Linked DNA regions of Drosophila melanogaster. The protein of the gene in region 2 interacts with the protein of the main gene of each other region in a pairwise test. Each region holds a gene or a part of one and is shown on either strand. Other genes may lie near its edges.

Region 1 (6,105 bases), on a different chromosome or scaffold from region 2:
AGCATGCACCGCACAACTGTTCGATCTCCTCGACGATTAAATTCATTTTTTCTTCCTGGAGACACAATAAAATAGTTTCACATTGCTAGTGCATCATAGCGGTTGCACAAAAACATACCACTAGGTTAGACAACTTTTTTTGAGTTTCCTCACGCTTTTCACTAGCCTCGAGATCATTTTTAGCCCTCTGAATTCTTGGTATATGGTCGTAGATTAACAAAACCCCCTGATCTACAATCGCACGACACCTGGTTTTCAAGTCATTCATACTTTCGGCGGCTAGAAAATAAAAGTATGCAATTGTAAGCGAAAGAAGGATAATTCAAGGATAACAATTCATTCAATCGAAGACGTAAAATCAAAACGAACTTACGAATACTCTTGGGCAATCGAAGTAGATCATCATGGTGGACCACAAGCTTGCATTCATCGTTTACAGTCAGACCCACAAACTTGAAGACCCCTTGATTCCGGAGCTCCGAACCCATTAACCGGATCTTGTGCATAAACTCGGACTGCAGGTTCTCCAGTTTTTTTTTCTGCGTATCAAAGACCCGCATCCGGTTCATCTCCAGGACACGGCGATGCGACATCTTTTCAGGCTTCTTTACATTTTGATAAGGTTCTGTGGACGGCAATAATCAGAGAATTGGACCACGTTTCAAATATTCGCGATACCCACCGCATGTCGTTGACTTAACCAATTGTGCTGACTGGGCATGCGTCTTTATGGGAACCACGTTCCGCTTGGGGGGATTCAACTCATCGATATCAGTTTTCCGATCGGGCTCAACTACTTTATGCTCGGGCTCGACCCGTCGATTGGGCAACGAATACGTACTGACACACGGGCGCGCTTTCGTCGAAGAAGTAACCCGTTCCAGAGAAGTTTTTCGCGAATGGATAGACGACCGACTCGCTCCACGCCTATTTGGAATGTGACTGAGCCTACCTTTGTTTGGGCTTCCGTCGCCATTCTGGGTGGGAGGAGTAGAGAAGACGCCACCACAAGAAGAAGTGCGAGACTGGGACGGGGATGTAAAGCATTTGAAAAAACTAAACCCTTTTCTTCTATCTCACTCACCCATGTAGCTTTGTCTGAGGCTTGCTTTTCCGCCTTTCCAGCTGTCCTCAGCAAGAATGCTTTGTTACCTAACAAGGATAACGAGCATTTGAAGCACACATTCGTATAGCGTTCAAGGTACATGTACTTACTACGAACTGAACGCGGCGTCACGCTGGAAGAATTCATATCTAAAGTTTCGGAAATCAACGCTTTTTTGTAAACGATTTTTGTGTTCAAAATGAGGAAAAAATAGTATAGAAAATTTGTTTCTAAATATTTCCAGTTGAACTACGTCTAGTGTAAATGGTACAAAAATGCTTTCTGACCAATCCAAACGAGGTGGTTCGTGGAAGTAACATGAATTCAAACTCAGAGCACACTTGTTCAGTTCCAATGTACCCGGTGTTTTTGGGGTCTGTTTGTTTAGAATGAGCGTATGAAAACTAATGGTTTCTATCAACAAATGCGAATCTGCAAAAGAAGCGGAAACTAAGCTAAATGGGAGGGAAAAGTAGAGAGCAGTTTTTCCCTCTCTGAGGTTCTCCATGTAATCCATTCGTCGGTCCCGAATGATGCACATCGTCCATCCAATAATCGACTCGGCGAAATTTGCATTCAGTTGCTGTTCGTGCGTCCACCGAGTAAGTTCTTAGTTCGGATTTCCCTCTAAAAGCATATATTTCGAGATTGTTTCATTTACGATCCATCAATACTGAGTAACAAGAGTATGAAAAAACAATCTGTACCACCTTGCTATTAGTTTATTTTCTCAAAATAACTTAATCAACTGGATTAACATACATGATGTGCTAGTGAAAGTGGGTGCTACAATATAAGTGCAGTACTGAGGTGAAGAAGCCCTAAAAGTGACTTTAATGATTTAGATCCATGGGAAATGGACGTTTGTCACCCCCTTGTATTCGAATTCGCTGTAGACAGTCGGCGCGTTTTTCAATTGAATTTAATCAGTGACGTAGACGGTCTATATAGTACAGACTATATATTGTATATACGCAATGCGATCCGATTTTCAAGGGGTAAACAACCAACAACCCGCCTAGTTCAAGTTCCGCATGGCAATTGAGCTGGCATAATTTGGATCTCAAAGGAAATGGAAAGTGTCTGCGAAAATAGCAATATGCACTATGTGTGACATCACGCAAAGTCATTCAATTGAAGGCTATTTCTACGAATTCAAGTTCAGTTTGAAACTGGAAGTAGGCTCCATTGGTTGCCATTGACATTCGATACCAATGCGGATAATTAAGACAATTAAGTGCTGGCCAGAAATAGTTTTTTCCCCCACAACCACGTGGCTGCATCAAATGATTGTAAATTTGTATTCCCACTCAATTTTGCATTGCAGCTCTTTGAAATGAAAGCTCTGGAAGGTTTCACTATTCTTCTCGCATTAGTGGGTGTTATTCCCCGGATCGAGGGCTGCATTAGGGTCCCACCGGGAGTCACAGCAGCCAAGTCACCGGTGGATGATAACTATGTGCTGTCCGTAAACGGAAATACGCAGAGTTATGTGCCCGGTCAAAGGTATAATGGTGAGTGCATTAAATTAAGCATTAAATTAAATTAAATTTACAAATTTCTAGATTTTTCTTTCAATTCTCTAATCTTTCGCTGCTCGTTTTCAGTTAGCCTCAGTGCATTTTCTGGCTTGTCCTTCATTAGCTTTATGCTGGCCCTGGATTTGGAGAGTGGTGACGGCGATGGTGACGCCAATGCCCTGGGCACCTGGGAGATCGCCGATCTCGCCGAGACCCGTTTCAGTCCGCGCTGCCCAAATCTTGTCGAGAATACCAACACGAACGTGAAGACACGCGTGGATGTGTTCTGGGTGGCTCCATCGAGTCCGGGACAGGGCTGCATCCTGCTGAGGGCTACGGTGATGCAGCATCGAGATGTGTGGTTCATGGATGATGGCTTCCTTACCAAGCGTATGTGCGAGGAGGAGGTGGACGACATTGACACCCAGCCCAGCATCGTGGATCCGTGCTGTGCCTGTGACGAGGCCAAATATGAGGTGGGACTCTTTTAACTCATTATTGAAATGGTATTAACACCTCCTTACTTCAGCTTACCTTCGAAGGCAAGTGGTCGCGTCACACACATCCCAAGGACTTTCCAGCGAATAGCTGGCGCACCAGATTCAGCGATATCATTGGTGCCTCGCACACACTGGACTACAGATTCTGGCAGTATGGAGAGCTGGCCAGCGAGGGGCTGCGTGAGGTGGCGGAGCATGGCTCCACAAGGACCTTGGAGAGTGAGCTGAAGGATCAGAGCGAACACATTCGCACGATCATCAAGGCAAGGGGCATTGCCTATCCGAATGTTACGGGCAAAACATTTGCCGTTTTTCGCGTCGACTCCAACCACCATTTGATCTCCCTCGTATCAATGGTGGATCCCTCTCCAGACTGGATCGTTGGTGTATCCGGCCTCGAGCTATGTCTGCCCAACTGTTCCTGGGTGGAGAACAAGGTGCACAACCTATATCCCTGGGATGCGGGCACCGATAGTGGTCCATCATATATGGTAAGACGATTTCCATGATTTAGTCTTCAGTAGAGTCAATCACGAATACTTTTCAGTCCGCTGACCAGCCACAGGTGCCTCCAGATGTTGTGCGCCGCATCAAATCAAATTTCCCCAACGATCCCCGTTCGCCCTTTTATGATCCCACTGGTGCCCAGATGAAGCCATTGGCCACCCTGCACATCAATCGAAGACGACTCTACGAAAAGAACTGCGAGTCCTCCGATTGTAAGTTAAATGCAACCATATATTGATGTTGTGAATATACATACTATATACTTTAATCCTGTAGCGGAACAGGTACCGCCGGAGTGCGCCACAAACTCGTGGTCCAGATGGGATGAATGCACCACAAAGTGCGGTCCCGGCAAGCAATACAGAATCCGAGAGTTCAAGAACCCTGCATTGGCTTCGGTAATTAAGACGACATATATAATTTGGATCCCATACTATATATACATTTTGACACCTACCTTAGCGTCATCGTTGCAACAATGCCCTGCGTGAGGAGAAGAACTGCGTGGGACACAAGTGCGCTGGCTTCAATGAGGAGACAGCTGAAGGCGGCGAGCCGGAGGTGGCGCCATCACCAGGTAGCAGCGACGATCCCCAGTGCGGTCTGTCTGACTGGTCGGAGTGGTCTTCGTGCACCGTGACTTGTGGAACCGGCGAAATGACCCGATCCCGACACTATCTAAACAAGAAGGCCAAGAAGAAGTGCCAGAAGGCAAGCAGGGCGCGTCTGCATGAGACCAAGATTTGCGAGGCAATGGAATGCGGTGGGGACATCGAGAACGAAGGTGGTGCTGGGGAACCGGAGGAGGAACAGGCCGGTGGCGACGGAGGTGGATCCGCTGAGAAACGCTCCATATTCCGCAACTTCGAGAGTTACAGTCAGCATCGGGAGGATTACATACCACCGGTTTGCGGGGTCACTCCATGGTCGGATTTCTCGCCGTGCATGGGGCCATGCGGTGGACATGGAAAGCGGCAACGTATTCGCAAGGTGTGGAATAACAACCAGGTGTACGGAGTAACGGATCCCAATGATGACGGCCAGGATCCCTGTCGACACATCAAGCTGCACGAGGAGGTGAACTGCACCAATCCTAGCTGCGATACCATTGTTCCCGGCTTCTGCTACGACGAGCTGACCGACAGTCCGTGTCGGGATAACGATGTGGCCAACTTCTGGTACTACGACCATGTGAGTGACCAGTGTGCCATCTATTGGTCGGATCGTTGTGATACAAATCGCAACAAATTCAAGTCGAAGGAGGAGTGCGAGGAGACATGTCGCCTGCCGCGCCACAAACAGGAACTGCAGCACGATGGCATTCCAGCCATTGATTGTCTCGTCTCTGACTGGGTTTCCCACAGTTGCAACGCCTCCTGCGGCGATGGCTTCCAATTGCGAACGCGTCGGGTGCTCCGTACTCCGAAGTATGGAGGCAAGCCATGTCCCAAGCACCTGGTACGTTTGGATCGCTGCTACCAGCGGTGCGATGACATGTACTCAATCAGTGGACGGGGATTTGGAGAGCGAAGGCATGTGGTAAGAGCTCCGCAACCGGAACCGCAGGACGAGTGTCGCTACTCGGAGTGGTCCGCCTGGACACCATGCACCGCCACGTGTGGCGATAATGCCGTTCGCCAACGAACCCGAACCCTAATGAACACCGATCTGAGCTACAAGTGCAAGGATCGCGTCCGCATGGAAAAGTGCGTGATGATGCCTTGCCAGCTGACCAGCAACGATGATCCAGAGCGGTGGTGAACATACCATTAACTGCTACAAGTATTAGTTCTAATCCAACTATGTAATCATTACCAATGGATATCGTTAAATATATGAAAAATTCCAGACTACCTACACTAGCTCTTCTCGCAACAGATTAAATATGTATTAAAAACAATAAAACAGAATTGTGTTCGCGTGGTAATTCCAATTCCGATTGAGTTTAACCTTGACCCAGTTCCATTAAGCAAACAGTGGCCAGTTTACGAGTGATTTTTCGCCGGGTTGCAAGTTCAAAGAACCCGGGCACAATTCATCAATTGAAAAGCTTGCCATAAAAACAAACCATTCCTAATTGAAGACAACTCAATCAAGATGCCATAAGCTGTCAACGCCGAGAGCGCCATTTAAGGGATAATTGATAAATTGGAAATGCTCATCAATTAATGGAGATGGCTAGCCATCAGTTTTGGTCAGTCGCCGTTGAGCCTCGACCCAGTACGGATCGCTAAGATTGAGAAGAGATGCTTCGCCATATCGTGCTCCTCATTCTGCTGTCTTCCGAAGTCAGAGGAGTCTGCAATCGGATACCCCAAGGTGCCAGTGGCCCTCGATCGCCTGTGGATGATAACTTTAAGATCCTTATCGATGGCAATCCAGAGACCTATGTGCCAGAACATCAGTACAATGGTGAGAGTCTCGAGTTGTCCTGAAGCTTTTACTTCAACATTATTATCATCATAAGTTTCGT
Region 2 (6,055 bases):
GTTCCTGCAGCATAGAAGTCTTCGAGAAGCTGTAGTGGAGCGTAAAGTCCGAAATGTGGCTTTCGACCAAATTGGATTTGGAGAACGAGACCACCGGGCGACCAATGGTATCCAGATAGGTGTGCACCAGCTCATTGGGCAATCGGCTGATGGAGTAGGGCGTGGACAGCCTAATGTCACTGGATCCCTCAGGCAGAATAATCTTGATGGTGGCCTCATCGATGGCCATATTGTCGTAGATGTGATCGATGAGGTGCATCTTCAGCTGGTACTTGTTGCCATCGTTGAACATGTACTCGTACGAGGGCACATTGTAGCCCAGAGTGTATTGCGTTTTCCAGCCGCCGAAGAGCGGGAAGCGCGGACGCAGCTCCAGCTCGATGAAGTCGCGCACGGCGTTCATGTTGGAGGTGGAAATGTTGCCATTGGTGTCGCGGTAATAGACACCAGATGCGGATGCTGGCAGGTAGGTCTTGTACGACTTGAGGGCCGCCAGTCCGGAGCGTCCTTCCTTCTGGAAATCGTAGCGCGAGAACGAGCCCTTCAGCTTGGCCCCGGTGTGCGTCATCTGAATAGACTCCTGGACGGCAATGTTGCCCCAATGCGATATCTCCAGCGTGCGTTCCAGCGTATTGACGGTGACGAATGGTGCGGAGTTCTCATAGTGGATGACTAGTGGCTCCTGGCTGAAGGCTGCACGAATCGAAAGCGTTAGAACAGACGGTTTCTGCTAGGCAGCTATTACTTACCCTCTACGTTTTCGTAGGGTCCCAGGGTGATCTTGTTGGAGGACACCGAAAAGGGTTTGACCTGGGTGTGCGACAAGATGTTCGAGGAGCTGAGCTTGACATTGGTCTTCTGGCTGTTGGTCCTGTACTTGGAATAGAGGTGCAGATTGCCCGTATATTTCACGAACTGCTTGTCGTTCTGCCGTATCTCCTCCGGATGTGGGCGGATGCCCTTAGAGGCCACGGTCTCGACGATGAACGTCTGCTTGGCGGCGGCCCTGGGGAAGGTGAACGTGAAGCTCTGCTCCCCCTTCACGGGCTCATTCCGCTTGAATGGCACACTCTTGTCGCTAGCATCTTTTACGTCAATGTACGCCAAACTGGGCTCCGATGTGAAAAACACGTATTCCACAATCGGCTTGCCGGCCGAATCTTCCGCCGAGATCTTGGTGGTCGTCTTTACCAGCTGCGATGTTAGGTCCAGCGTTCGCTCCACATTTGTGTTCACTATTTCCCCGTTGGCAGTGGCCAGGCAGAGGAGTGCCCCAAGCGCCAGATAAATAACAAAATTCGTAGCCATGCTCGCCTCAAATTTGGACACGTACATTGGAAAATCTCGAAGCGTTAGGGCATATTTAAGACCATTCAGCCGGCAAAGCGGCTCAGCGTGACCGTGTCACGCATTCGTACTTTTACCAGCCACTGCGCAGAATTATCAGGGGTATTCCATAAATATTTTAATTTTTATTCTTATAACAGAAAAAATATATAAAGGGCAGTAACCAAAATAATAGCACTTCTAAATAAAGCTTATTTTGCATCAATTTAAGCACAAAATATATAATAATCATTTATAAAATATTATTGATATATTTTAAGTTCTGCATGCATGTTTTATAGCATACATAATTTTTGTTGTGTTTTAACGATTCTCATTGTTATATTACATTATATTATTATATTATCTTGTTAGCGAAGCACTTATCAAGTACTGACCTAACCTAACTTTTGGCTGATAGCAGTCAGCTGACTGGGCGCCATTTCAATCGATTGGCAGCAGAATAAAACTAATTTTGGAAAGCACCCCACCAAAGTTCGTTATCTATTACCCTTAGAACAAGAATACACGCCGTTGTTACGCCACTTTTGTGCGACTCATGCGATTCTCTATGCCATTCATTATGCCGCCCAGCAGTAAATATGAATAATATTAAATAATTCCTGTCATCATCCCTTCGATTGGCGAGTCGAGTTGGCTTAAACACGCATATGCAATGCAATCCGGAGAGAAGAGACCCCACATAATGCGATTGCGTGAGTTATACGGATGGGGCTTTTTGCCGACTTCAATTTAGTCGACGATTGGCACTTCGAAAACGAAGTTGTATTCGCCGGGGTGTGAACTGCGGACTCTTGGCTCCAACCAAGTAAATTCGAATCCAGAATTGTGCCATTTTCTCTAAACACACACACACACACACACACCCGCACGCACATACACACACCCGCACACACAGAGGCCGCGTGTGTGAAAATATAACGAAAATGCAGTGAGAAATCTGCACTTCTGACGGTCAATACATACAATTTATACATCTTTCACCTGTGTATCTGTATCTGTATTCTCGAAAATATGTAGCTATGAAATAGTCATACGAATGCTTTATGATTGCATAAACAATTAGAGGCGAAATGTGTATGTACGCGTAAGGATTTGCCGAGCAGTCAGTGCAAAAAGAGCAGAAAAACGGGAAAAAAGTGAGTTTTCCTCCATCAATTTCTGTGTATGCATTTCCTCCAAAATATATACATATATCTGTATGCATATATGTATGTTTGTATCCGTGACATGTGTTTTTTTTCTGTGCATAAAATATTAGTGAAGAAAGAAATTGAATTCCTCCACTTAAGTCAAGATTATCCCAAAAAAGAAAAAACATGATACAAGTTTCAAGTTGTTTGCGTGACCCATACATATAAATATCTTGTATCTGCGAGCTATAAAACATACATACATACTCCACGGTGCATCGTTGTTGCCACAAATATTTTTAGAAATACACATTGGACATACATACATACATAAATACAAATGTACTCATAAACTGAAGTTCGTTGCAGGAGGACAATGTTGCTGCGGGTATAAAGTTGAATTAGAAAAGTATACGATCCGCGGAGCCTCGAATTCGGAAATAATGGAACCGAAAAGATGGCACTTGCATTTATCATGTTTTTTGCTACTCCTTAGTTCAACTTTTTCTGGTAAGCAAAGGTCGCCAACTTTATGAATCGTTAAACGATTTTTATCACTTTTGCGCTAAGTTGTATGCTATAAATTGGAAGCGAAAACCTTCGATTGCGTTTTTACTTTATTTTGATTGCTTTTGAAGGTAAATAAAAAAAAATATTAAATACCAAGAGAAATTAGTGAACGAAAAATTTTATTTCTATGCAAAAGTAATTAAAAATAAAACGAAAGCTATGAAAACGAAAGCTATGAAGGCATAGATAAAAGATACATTTTTAAGTTTCATTTTTACATTTTACATTTTTAAGTTTTTTTTTTTTAACATTTCACCGCAAATCACTTTGGATTCATTCATTTCATGTGATTTTTGACACATTTATATTAAGAGATTTTGTTTAATATTCATTGAACAACCATTTCAGATGTCGGGAAGATCACTTCGTCTCAAAATCATTTTGGTAACACCTTACAAAGTCAATTTAATACGAAGAACAACACTCGAGTTATTGCACAAAAGGGAGGACTTGCCATTCTGCCCTGTGTGGTCAAAGTTAACTCCCCAGCCACGGTGAGATATATGTTTTTCTTAAAATTTATACATCGATTCTAATACTTAGACCTTTTGCAACATTTCAGGTTTCCTGGATACGTAGAAAGGACTTCCAGCTCCTGACAGTGGGCCTATCCACCCACAGTAGTGACAAGCGATTCTTGGTGGAGCACACGCGGCACATGGGCCACTGGTCCCTGAGAATTAAGGCAGTTCGGGAGGAAGATCGCGGTTTTTACGAGTGTCAATTGTCTATTTATCCAACTCAGTCAATAGTTATAGAATTAAAGATTGTCGGTAAGTGGACGCAGCTGCCTTACAAAGTTCAAAGCTTAACGGGTATTGAATCTTTTCGTTGTATAGAAGCGGTAGCTGAGATTTCTAGTGCACCGGAATTGCATATTGATGAGACTTCTACTCTGCGACTCGAATGCAAACTGAAGCGAGCTACCGAGAATCCTGCATTTGTTTTTTGGTATGAAAAATAATATGAGTTAGATTTGTAAAATTTTATATTATTCTAAACATAAGACCCAACTTAACCGAATGCAATTTCTTCAATTTAGGTACCATGATAGTAAAATGATCAATTACGACTCACAAGGCGGCTTCGTTGTGACATCGATTGGGCAAAGCAATCCGCAGAGTGGCCAGTTTTACCGTAGCTCGCCGGCGAACAAATCGCGCGCCACCATGCCCATGGAGTCCAGCAATGGGGTGCTCAACAGCCTGCTGGGCAGCTCGGATGCTATCAAGGCACCGGCCGCCAATGTGCCCTCCTCCACGCCCTATATGACGCAACAGCATCAATCCGCCTATCTCCTGAATCCCTCGGTCAGTGTGCTTACTGTGAAGCAAGTCAATTTCCGTCATGCCGGCAACTATACATGTGCTCCATCAAATGCCCGTCCTGCCAGCATTACAGTGCATGTTCTAAGGGGTAAGACCGCCGCCGGTCGATATTTAAATATATGTCATACTCATTGTAATTATAATAGGTGAGAAAACGGCGGCCATGCAGCACGCCAATCGGAGCATTTTGGATACGGAGACCAACGGCAACGGCACCTTCGGATTGATCACATTGGGTGGACTGAATGGAACTAGCGGCGTAACTCTGGCCGGGGGAATCCTCTACTTCTCTGGGCTGTTCCTGCTGATGGGCGCGGTGGTATTCGATCGATTCTCGTTGGCGGCAACTCACAAGGTATTCGTAGCATTTATAATAGTCACTATGCATAGCTGAAACTTATAATCGATGGTATTTGGAATGGAGCAACTTCAATCATTCGAGGATATTATATTTGAGAATATTTGTTTTAAAATAGAAGATTGTAAATAGATCATTGACATACCATATTGAGATGCCGGCGTGGGCATGGTAAGACATTTAAAGTAATCTAAGAATAAACTGTAAATAGACTTCCATTACATGCAATGTATTGAATTGAGAAATAAGATGAGAATTCACGAACTTGTTACCACAAAACTTATAAAATGCATACCTATGCCAATAAGTCATGGGGGATTGAAAACCGCATATTTTGATGGTTCATAGTGGTACGTAAGATATAATGTATGCTTAGATGTTCATATTTATTGACTGGTACTGGTACTGACATTTTAATGTTACAAACAATGGAATTAGCGTAAAATGATAATGATAAAGCCATACAGATTTGTTACCTAATAACTCGGAAAATTTGATCGTCACCTTTAAACTGTTATTCTGCTCAGTGTTCGATATTTAGTATATAGATTGATTTATGTAAGCACCTTTAGAAGTATGCTAATTCATATACTGTATGTACAACTGTAAATAAATATTACTTCCGTGAGCGTTTTCAAAAGCGCTGTCTTCAATCCAAAATGGGCAGAAGTGCCAGTTTCGTTTTGTTTACCCTCGAATACGGAGTGCAAAACGACTTTTAAATTTTGTTGCCGACATAAGAACGTTTTAAATAAACAGATCAATTTTAAGAAACCCGCTTCTGGTTAAGTTATTTGCTCTTCAGTTGGGTGGTACACATTTAAAAAATGAATACGAAAATGTTATGAATATTTTTGAACTCATTTTCAAATGTAAGACCCCCTTCCGATTTCTGTTTCATATACCGCAGTTCCGTGAGGTGCAATCTTAGCTTGTCGTTGTATTTGACACAAGTTATCGATAATTCTACATAGCTGAACTACCATCGCTGAAAAATGTTGGCAAAACAAAAAGATGAGATCCGAAATTTTGGCAAGCGCCTTTTTGGGCCTGGCGGTTAGGTCGATTATCTCGCTGTACTCCTACTCCGGCTTCGATTCCCCGCCGATGCATGGCGACTACGAGGCCCAGCGCCACTGGCAAGAGATCACGGTCAATCTGGCAGTGGGGGAATGGTACACAAACAGCTCCAACAACGATCTTCAGTACTGGGGCCTGGATTATCCGCCTCTGACGGCCTACCACAGCTATTTGGTGGGTCGCATAGGAGCATCCATTGACCCCCGCTTCGTCGAGCTGCACAAGAGCAGGGGATTCGA

What was found. Proteins that work in one complex are often made in the same cells at the same time.
Region 1: the proteins of dpr19 (region 2) and CG17739 interact in a two-hybrid assay, tested with the Drosophila melanogaster proteins (one large-scale study listed by BioGRID).

What each region holds. Positions count from the first base shown.
Region 1 is NT_033778.4:12,304,847-12,310,951, forward strand, and holds CG17739 (uncharacterized protein), read left to right. Parts: upstream 1-1,681; 5' UTR 1,682-1,707; intron 1,708-2,432; 5' UTR 2,433-2,441; coding exon 2,442-2,619; intron 2,620-2,712; coding exon 2,713-3,101; intron 3,102-3,154; coding exon 3,155-3,616; intron 3,617-3,672; coding exon 3,673-3,844; intron 3,845-3,908; coding exon 3,909-4,030; intron 4,031-4,094; coding exon 4,095-5,393; 3' UTR 5,394-5,566; downstream 5,567-6,105. Other genes in the region: salto, read right to left, coding at 1-55, 119-279, 374-625, 683-1,025, 1,085-1,152, 1,216-1,252; CG30203 (uncharacterized protein), read left to right, coding at 5,879-6,044, 6,100-6,105.
Region 2 is NT_033779.5:10,374,399-10,380,453, forward strand, and holds dpr19 (defective proboscis extension response 19), read left to right. Parts: upstream 1-1,769; 5' UTR 1,770-2,155; exon of another isoform or gene 2,156-2,486; intron 2,487-2,849; 5' UTR 2,850-2,923; coding exon 2,924-2,990; intron 2,991-3,398; coding exon 3,399-3,544; intron 3,545-3,612; coding exon 3,613-3,823; intron 3,824-3,889; coding exon 3,890-4,001; intron 4,002-4,092; coding exon 4,093-4,466; intron 4,467-4,524; coding exon 4,525-4,772; 3' UTR 4,773-5,507; downstream 5,508-6,055. Other genes in the region: CG33303 (uncharacterized protein), read right to left, coding at 1-693, 750-1,335; gny (garnysstan), read left to right, coding at 5,751-6,055.